Drosophila melanogaster: one gene and its partner. The gene in region 1 interacts genetically with each later gene. Each region holds a gene or a part of one and is shown in the gene's direction. Other genes may lie near its edges. The genes, in order: Tsp and mew.

What was found.
Region 2: of Tsp (region 1) and mew, changing one enhances a phenotype caused by changing the other (phenotypic enhancement), as found in Drosophila melanogaster (one study listed by BioGRID).

Annotation. Positions count from the first base shown.
Region 1 is NT_033779.5:6,705,971-6,711,240, reverse strand, and holds the start of Tsp (thrombospondin), read left to right. Parts: upstream 1-2,154; 5' UTR 2,155-2,954; intron 2,955-5,270.
Region 2 is NC_004354.4:13,253,869-13,259,015, reverse strand, and holds the start of mew (multiple edematous wings), read left to right. Parts: upstream 1-1,832; 5' UTR 1,833-2,184; coding exon 2,185-2,399; intron 2,400-5,147. Other genes in the region: CG15742 (uncharacterized protein), read left to right, coding at 781-1,392. UniProt on the Drosophila melanogaster protein: Integrin alpha-PS1/beta-PS is a receptor for laminin.

The DNA of each region.
Region 1 (5,270 bases):
ATTTTTTTGTTGTTAACTTGGCGTTAATCACTAGTTTTATGGCTTAAGCCCTCCACGTTAATTATACACTCACCGACGGGCCCTTAAATATTTATTCAATATTTTTGAATTGATATGCGAGCAAACCAGTTTTACTTCCCCGATAAGCTGGTGAATTGACCTTTAACTACTTTTAATTATATTGTATTGGCCCAAAAAAAAAGGGGCTGAGTTGGAAATTAAGTGATAAGCACTTGCTTTTAGTTTGTAGGGTGAATGGAGAGCTATGGTAACACCTTTAGGTAAATATTTGCACTTAGATATGCATATTTATCAACTGCCATTAAACACTCTCCTTTGAATCATTAAGCCGGAAGCTTGACCAACTTCACTCCAATCAAACCATGTCTTGCCAACTCCCACACTATTTCCAGGTGCAAGGCATCTGGCCTGGTCGGCATCAGTGGCCAAAGCCACGTAACCCAATTAACCGGCGAAGTCGTAAAATGACAATATTTCCTAGAGCAATTGAAGGCTGATGATAATCCCAAACCCCCCTAAGAGTGTTAGAAAGTAGCTCACTTTCGTTACACTGCACAACAAAGTCACGTTCGCTGAGGAAAAAAAAACACTCCAGAAAGCGCTGCACACGAAGAGCAGGAAGAATGCGTGTAATCGAATCTTGAAGACCGAAAAATAAACATGTTAATAATACAATTTTATGATTAATACGCACTGAACTGCAGTGCGAGGTGGTGGGGTAAAGGTGGGGCATTTCGGAGGAGATCAGACTTGATGTTGCTGTTGCGGCGTCGAAAAGTGCGTGGGACGTCTTAGCTCGTAACCACTGAAGATGCTGGGAACAACTCGAGGAGGATTCGGACGAGGAGTGTGTGGAATGGGGCGTGGGGCCAGCGAGGCTTATTTATAAATCACGCACATAATGAAATTTCAGCAAGTGGTCGCCGCTGTCCGAAAAGCGGCAAAATATGCAGCGTTGATGTGGGATAGCATCTCGGGTGTGTCCGCAGCACCGCAACTCCGTGATAAATGCACATCTGCATAATGCCCTCCTCCAACTGTCCGCTGACATGCCGGCGACATAATGACGAACAGGTCGGGCCATTCATTCAACTTCCCTTTCCCTTGGATCCCGATGCTACTGTCGTGTTACGCATCAGTCCCGTGTCAACGGCAAATAGGAGTGGAGGGAGTTCCGAAATGGGGGACACTTGTACTGCATAAGTAGCCATTAATAGGTGCCATATGCATATCATTTTGGGCTCTGGTTTTAACGAGTAGTTCGTCTGTTTTGAATGCCTGCAGAGCGTGCCGTTTATTTACGATCTCCATTTCAAAAGAGCAAAAGTCTGGCCCCATCCACCGAGTTCCTTTGGATTTGGAGGTGGTGGTCGAAAACAAGGATGGACGCATTATCGGAAAAGGGTTCGCACGAATCCGATTTAATGGCCTTAAACGGGCCTACAATGTAAGCATGTTTCGGGATTGAGTTTCAGTTTAATGGCCCAAACGATCTACAATTGGGGCAGCCCAAGTGGGCGACTCCACCATAATAATTGGTGGATAAACTAATGAACTGAAGACAATAAGTAATTACCCATAAATATAATCACAGAGAGCGACTTTTAACCAAAATATTTATTCTTACAAATTACACAGCAGTTTTAAACAATATATTACATAATTGCAACTTAAAGCGCACAAACGAAAACTGCGCTGATCGTTACAGAATATTTAAAATAACATTTTCTATATAGAAAATAAATTTTAAATTTCCTATATTTTAAAGAAGATTACCCATTATAAAATTTTATTTTTTACTAAGGAAGCGGAAGATATGAGATCTGAAAGTTGACTACCACTTTTTCCACTCACTTCCTCAATTATTCAGCAGCGATCTGGCCACACTGTCGATGTTTACGCAAATTTTGCACGTGGGCGTCGCGGCTTACTCACGCGTCAAATCAAAAGAAACACAAACGAAGACAAAATGCCGCGTTTCTCCCAAGAGCAACAACAACAGCTGAGAACAAAACAGAAACGCAGAAAGGCAACAACAAGTTGTCGCTGCTCCAAGTTGCTCCAGCCAACAGCGCTGCCGCTGCCTCAGTCGACGCTGCGCGTCGATCATTCCCTTTGCATTTTCAAATTTTCAGTTTCAGTTCGCGTTGGAACGTTGAACAAGACGGTGCGTGTCCTAGGTGCTTCGATAAGTGATCAGTGATTAGTTTTGGCGATAAATCAGTAGCATCAATCGATCGAACTATCGCGAGAATGTTTCAGTTTTCAAACGCTTCCTAAGTGTGCTTTTGAAATCAGCCCGCGCTGTACAAAGTTTTTTGCCCATATTTTTAAATCCGATCGATCCTCAAGCAGCATCCTCTGCATCCAAGGTGTCCAAGATCGCGTCGCGTTCGCCTTAATAGCATAAAAGTGTTTTAATTTTTATTGGCACGAACGGGCGAGTCAGTTGCGGAGCAGTTGTCGTTGCTGGAGGATTGTAGGCATTGGCGTCGCGTGTTCTCCACCGCGATTCCATAAAATCGACTCCACGAAATCTTCGCGTGTGTCCCCATTCCAAAATCCAGCTTTTCTACCTGGCGCGTATTTCGAAAAGGGTTTAAATGGTCTAATGCATCCGTTTCGTTATCGATTCTTTTAGTGTGAAGATACCCTTGCGACGTGTTTGATCTTTCGCTCTGCAAAAGTACAACATAATAAAAGTGTCTGTGCGGGCGTCCAGGAAAAAGCGGCGGAAAAGTGTGGCAATACTCGTAAAAATAACTCAGGTCGTTTCCATTCTAAATTGCGCGTTGACAGCCGCAAGTGGCGCAAACGAGCCGCACAAACAACAAGGAGCTGTCAGTTCCGTCCCGCCAAGTGGATCACTTGGATCACATCCACATCCGCAGTGGGGGCACCTCTAGAGCAAGAGCAGCGTCCTTGACCACGAGGTGAGTGTGAAGGTGGGCCAGACCTCCGGGCTTCTACATATGCTGCTTATTCGTGTGGCCAAAATCTGGGCTACACTCCGCTCACTCGGAAAATGAGTGCGCCAAGTGGCCAGGTGCGAAGTGCATTCCATATTCAAGTGCCTGGAAGGTACTAGAGCATATTAAGTTGTTCTTAAAGAAGTTGCGTTAATAATGATGCATCATCTCATTTTTAACATATTCTCAGGATCGTAAAGATAAACGAAAGATATACGGAAGTAATCACGACTTGGGTCTATGTTTATTAATATCATTCATTTAGAAAGTTATTAATAGCTAAATGCTAATTTCTTGTTTTCAATCTTAACAGACTGTAGACTAAAGAATCGCATCTTCTAGCTGCACACCCACAGCAGTTTAACTCCTTTTCATTCGACTTTATTGCATGATAATCACCAAGTTGTTGATAGGCCAATCTATGAATATTTTTTATGAGCGCCTCACAAGATTTCTATTCATTTCACCGCCATTTTATATCTGATGATAAATCAAGCTAATTGTTGTTGTAATTCAAATACTATCGATACATATTAATTAGCCACACCCAAGTCAACCGCAATCTGGCGGCAAAATCGGCCTGTGGCATCCTCACCATTCGAGCGACATTAATCTATGGGGGATCTGGGGAGATCTTATCTGCATTGGCGCCATAAATACCGCAGTCGAGTCATAATTTATTAATTACCGGACTTTCCACACGTATTTAAAGCAGATCAGATTGAGGTTTATGCCTTTGCGAGAACTATAATTATGTGGATCATATAAGGTCAGAGCACAGAATATTTTCCCCTCCAACAAATATGAATTGTGATTCGAAACGGCAGCCACAGATTGCTAATGATGTTGACCAAATGAAGCTGGTCACATTCCCCAACAACGGTTAAAATACTTAATTTTATTTGGCTCGATTTCCCAATCACTTTGCAGCTTCTACTGGGCTCTGCTACTCAATTCCAAGCGATTCAATTAAAAGACGCCCACTGCAAAGATCCCCATAACAATTTATAACTGCCTGTTCGAGAGACATTTCAGACTTGCGGTTATTTTATTATTTGAATATATTATTTAGCGGCAGTGGCGTTGTGACCCGAAGGGGTATTAATCTTGAAGATGTAGTAACCAATAGTTGGGAGATACTTTTAGCTAGGCCTATGACTTCGTTGTATCGATGTATCTATACAATAGATAGATACTTTCCCTTCAATAGAGCGGACAAATAAGATCGATCTGTTCAGTTTTGCAATGAGATGTGACAGAAATTCACTGAATAATTATTCAAATATGGAGCTTGGTGTTTTCTTATTCTCTGTCCAAACATTGACACCCCTTGGCGCTCCACACAGAGATGACTCTTCAGACATGGTAATATCTTGCTGGCCATATTTGGAGCTCGAGTTTGACATTATTAAAACATAAATAATATTGCCATTGTTAGTTATGGAATTTCCGCTTGGCAGCGAGTTATGAGTTCATAAACAAATGCAAATTAAGTGGAAAATTGTTGCACCAGCAAATTAGCGCATCGTCAGTGGAAAGTCATTTGGACACCAATATCCGAACCTTCTGCGGCAAATCAGGCTAACAAATTTTAATGCTTTGTATTGACTTCAGTCGGAATTTGCAATTCAAATGGAGCAAAGTCACAATAGCAGCTAAGGCTATTTGTGTTGGCCGTTTGGACTGCGGGCTTCAAAACCAATTCAAGTCGAATGGAGACGCGACTTTGCCTTAATGGTTCATCAACATAAGTTAATGGGTTTTCGGTTTTGGCCTAATGACAGATTAAACACATTCTCAAGCGATTTGACAAGATTGCCAACGAAAATTGCGCCGAAATGTATACTTTTATCCGGGCAAGAATAGTAGCATCTATCACGCATATTATTTTCCTTAGATATTTTGCGAAGATATGCAAATTATTTAAAGACGACCACTGATAGCAAGGTGCGGTCCAACAAACACCTGGTAAAAATAAACATTTAATTATATAGCCGCTGTATAAATTTAATTGATGGCAATATAATACGATTTGAGACAGTTTCTAGCTGCTGGCTATGCTTACATCAAAAAGTAGTCATCATGCATGTTTAGCTCAACGCAAGATTAAAGATTCAAGATTACAGAGATTATAATAATACCATTCTTACGGGTCTTTAAATTGTGATTTATGCGTTTTTACACCTACAATTTCAATCATTTTTATGTACTCTGCTGTTGCGATTGAGCAACTTGGCAGGTGGCAATTACCATACCAGAAATCTCAATCACCCGACTTAT
Region 2 (5,147 bases), on another chromosome or scaffold:
AAAATTTTATTCAGCACATGCGCCTAGGAATCCAGGGCTGGCGAACTTGTTAGTACATCCATATGGGATTTGGTTTTTAAATATACGTTTCTTTTGCCAAGTTTAATAACTAACGACTCGTATTTGCATGATTTTTTTTTTTAATAATAATAATTAAATTTATAAAGCAAGCGGTTGATTTTTTAAATTGGTAGAGTGCTCGAGAGCTCTTTAATATAAAAGTTGTATATGTATAAATATTAATAAATTCTCGCCGGGCTTTTACTAACAAAAAATGTAATCATTTAATTTTTTAAGATTTTCCGGTAAGAGAAGTCTTAAATTGCTACCGCATTTATACCAGAAAATTCGTGGTCCACAATAATCGATTTATCGATAATATCCGACTGAACGAAAATTCAAATCTAGTGTGCGAGGAAATTTAGAGACGAAAGTTTACGTATTTAAGCGTCCAGTAGTCATTGAGTTAAGTGTAGCTACCTGATTCGGATAATTAAGTACTTTTACTTTTTTGGGAGCACAACAAAATTTTGTTCTCGTTCTTACTTTTACACAGCAAAATTTTATAATTTTTTAAAATTTTTCTGCCGGGCTGTTCGACGAAGCAAAATCAATTTACCAGTACTACGACGGTGAGTGACGATGCCAATCGCTAACTTTCTGTACACACGTATGTTACCATTCCGAGAAAGTTTCTAGATAACAAACACGGCCATTGCAGCTTACTTGTATAATAAAACACATTTCTAACACGCTTTTTACACGACAAACCGCGGTTCGATGTCAAAAGTTCGATGCAATAAGATCGACCACTGCTTGCTGGGCGCAGTTCGCGGCATTAAGCCGCCCTATCGCTCGGTGCGTAATGCCCAAGACGGCGTGATTAGCACCTTCCTGGACAAGTACAGTAGGCCCAATTATTTTGCCATCCGCTTGGTGATACCCGCCGAGTTGCCACCCATCGATCTGGCCGAAATACTTATGGACATGCTAAAGATGCAAATATTGCGCCGCAAGAATTGTATCGCGTCGTCCAATTGGGTCAGGATGAAATATATATGTCAATACGGCAGCAAAGCCGATGAGACGTTCATCATGCATGACAGTGCCATGAGAAAACTGCAGCAGGCCATTGAAGAGCTCACCAATCTGCTCGATCAACTGAAGCTGGCGTATGAGCCCGTTTCCTATGGACGGATAGCCGTGCAGGCTCAACAGTTGGATAAGCGGGCCCAGATATGGCAGAATTTGCTCAACGGCCGCAATGAGCAGTTGGAGCGCCGTTTAGCTCGGGACATTTCACTCCCATATCCTCCTGCAATAGATGCCCGCATGCGCATTTCGAAAAGTTATCAAGTTATCAACCATATGCGCACTTGGCGTTTCGGCTAAGGTCAGCAAATTAGAATTTGGTCGAATTTGTTTGTATATCAATATGGTCACTAAAGATGCTGCTGTGATATTTTACCTTGCTTTTGGATATATATACATTTCTTTGGATAGCATCTACCTGGACTGAGACGTTCTACTGTCATAGTGATTCTGATGTCGTATGACTTCTATATTAACTTTAAATTAATCGAGTGCAACGCATGTCGAGATTAATAAATAACATATCAACAACAAAACACAAACTTTGACTTACCTCCGCGCTGCCCGAATTGCAAACAAAGAGAATGATGTTATCCAGCCCTCTAGTGTAGTGGAACTGCTTGTGCGTCTGCTTGCTATATGTTTGACCACTGCTTGCACAGCGCACATGTATGTTCGAACCATGTTCGAACCATGTTCGATGGTAGCTCAGTAGCTTAGTGTAGCTCTTCTGTGCGAAGCATTTTATTTTTCGTTTGCCCGTCGAAGAAGGCGAAGCGAAGAGAAAATATCTGCCGCTTCGAACGCACGCTATCAATGTCTAATTCTTTACGTAATAATCATTTTTTTTTTTGCTGTGTGACTGAAACGAAGAAATATACGAGCAAAAGTGAAAAATACGTGGACTACCTGTTGATCCAAAGATCTCAACGGATTTAGTGTGTGTGTGTGTGTGTGCGTGCGTGTTTTTTTTCGGTTCATTGTTTTGTTTGCAATAGTGCAAAGGAAAAAGTAATCACTTTGCCGTGTTCGGTGCACGTGCACGAAATATTTATAAAATATATATTAAAAAAAAAAAACATAAAATTAACGATGTTGGAGCTACCGTTTACCACCATACGGCCCAACTGCCGGCTAAGACAGAATCTTGGTATTCTGATAATCCTGCAATGCGTTCTCACTTGCTACAATTTCAACCTAGAACAGCGATTGCCCATTGTGAAGTACGGACATCCGCATTCGCATTTCGGCTACTCGGTGGCCACCCACACTATTGGCGAGGCCAATGGGCCCAACAAGACCAACTGGTAAGTGGATAGTTAAGTGGATAGATAAGTATCTGAAAGATGCGTCCAAAGTATGCGAACTTCCAAAGTGAATCATTATCTGCAGTTCATTTAAACGCTTAGGCATATTTTTATTTTTCAACAATCAATTTTAAACTTGCATCCAAAAGATTTATTCGAAAAGTGTCTTGTTGTCTCAGCTGTGTTTTTTTTCTTTAGAAAAATGTTAGGTAAACAATAATGCTGAAGAACAGGTAGAGAAGAATCCAAATCCAAATTCGTGTCCGAATCGGAAATTCGCGCCAAGAATCTTGTTGGTGCGCAAACAGGTTTTTATATTCGCCAAATCGATTTCAGCTTAATTGACTGGCATTGATTGTTATTAATCAGCAGCACACGAACAATAACAACAACAACAACAAATAATAAAATAATAATAATAATAAGAAGAATTTGCATTGCAATCGCTGTGTTTGTTGCTGTTGTTCAGGGGGGGGGGGGGGGCTATCAAAGTTTGCTAATGCGCGAAACTTGTTTGAAATCGTGTTTTTATTGTTGAATTACCATAAATTGTTTGAATATCGAGTATTTCCAGAGATGATGCCAGGTTTTAGATGTTTTTCGAATCGAAACAAACCATAATAAACTGAATGCATATGCCAAATGCAATGACAGCAGATAAGTGTTAAATATTATATTTGTTTGTTTCTCTTTTTTTTTTTTCGAATTGCTATTTGAAGAATTTCAACAGTTTAAACGATTTGTCATCCTTACTATCTGAGAATTTGCCTGTTTGATATTTTATGGTTTTGATTGTTTATTTTTGTGCAACTGATAAGCATAGTTGGTCGAAGAACAGACGAATTGTTTTAATGTTTCCCCCGACATGGGTTAAACCCTTGAACTATTGCGACTGAAGCGGATGTGGATTTATTTGCATTTGTCATAGATTCTTTTTGGCGAGGGCTTGGTGCTCATTAAATGTCTCGTATTGGCGACTTTATAAGTTGGCCAACTCCTTTTCGCATTCTCTATATACAATACAAGCAATACATAGATAGATAGATAGATAGATACATTGGCCAAACCAAACTCGGTAGACAAAACGGAGCCAGACGGCCAGTGGCCATAAAAATGGGCAGACAACAAATCTGGAATCAATACAAGCTGCGACTTGGATGCGCCAATTTGCAGCGAAAAAAACTGAGTTGCTAACATTTTAATACATTTAATACAACTGAACTGGCAATCGAGTTATTCCCGCCACATGGTGTGGTTTCTTAACCATGTATTGTGGTAAAAAAAAAGAAATTGTGCCATTCGCGGCATGCCCCATCGCTATCACTCGGTGCGTAATGCCTACGTAGGCGTGAAAAAGTCATGTTCCCCTTCTCTCTCTCTTGCCAAGTAGTGCCCTCTCCTTCGGTCACCCGAATAAGGGAAAGGGATATTATTATTATACTTATCATATATATGTTTATATATATCATTTATCGGCCGACGAGTCTAAGTGTACCAGCCTGAGTCATTTGGGTTAAGTAACGAAATGTCACGTATTGAAAGTCCAACTGAAAATCAATAGACCTTCAAAAAAAAAAAAATAATAAAAATAAATTTGCAAATGAGATGCATGATAAACTTTGAGCTTTAACTTCAATGTAATGGTGATATTATATGGTGGTGACCCCGTTTGGCAAGAAGTGGTGACCCACGCTGTTTCTTAAATCTGCATCGCGTCTTTAAATGACGCACTTGAAATCGGAAGAAGCTGTAATCCAAACGGAAATTGCTGTTTTTTTTCGCATCGAAGGCTAGTCCGATAACTGCAGTGAATTGCACAGTTAACTTGAATTTCCAGCTCGTTTATTGCGCGCCTTTTGTTTTTCAGTTTTGTTTGCACTTTGCGATTGTCGCATATTTGTTTTATTAATGAAAAAAAAGGTACGTATGCAAATAATGTGACTCGCTTATCGCTGGCCCATCTTAATTTTTTTTTTGTACCAGCCATATATACCAGCGGTTACGTGGCGCAATTATTACCTTTGATGATATGGTACAAATTGAGATAAGCCGCTGAGGATGGTCGATTAAGCTATACAATTGTTTTCGTACCCTTGCCGTGGCATTTACAGCGCCATAAAAAATGTGTATATATGTAGGCGACTTTTTTTAATTAGCACCTTCAATCAATCGGCATTAAATAATGATTGGCTTTGTTAATGAACTACAATTTCATTGCGCTGAATACTCAATATATTGCAGATTGAAAATGGTATGAAAATGCTAGCACGATTTTAACTCGCTTGCATGTAAATAAATCTCTGAGATTCGGTGTATCTCGTAGATGTTGTATCTCATGTGGGATACTTCTTCTGCATCGCGAACAGCTCACTGGTTGTGTTTATGCCGACAACATGTGTTCCTTGTTTGCGCCAAAAAATATAGAAGAGAACAAAAACTAAGAAAGAACTTAAAAAACTTTTCGGCGAAATGAGGTCAACAGACGCCAAACAGTCGCAAGAAAGGAAAGGTTGGGGGGAATGGTGGTGGTTGGTTGGTTGGGTGGTTGGGTGCTCAATGGGGTGGGCTATCCACTGGGGGCTGGTCGACAGTTTATGGTTATTGTTGTTGCTCTTTTACTCGCTGCTGGTGCGTGTGTCTCCCGCCAAATAGTTGAATAGTTAACCCAGGCCCAGCAACACAAAAAAAAAATAAATAAAATAATAAGAAAAATATGGGAACCCAACCCAAAAGTCCATTTCTCATCTA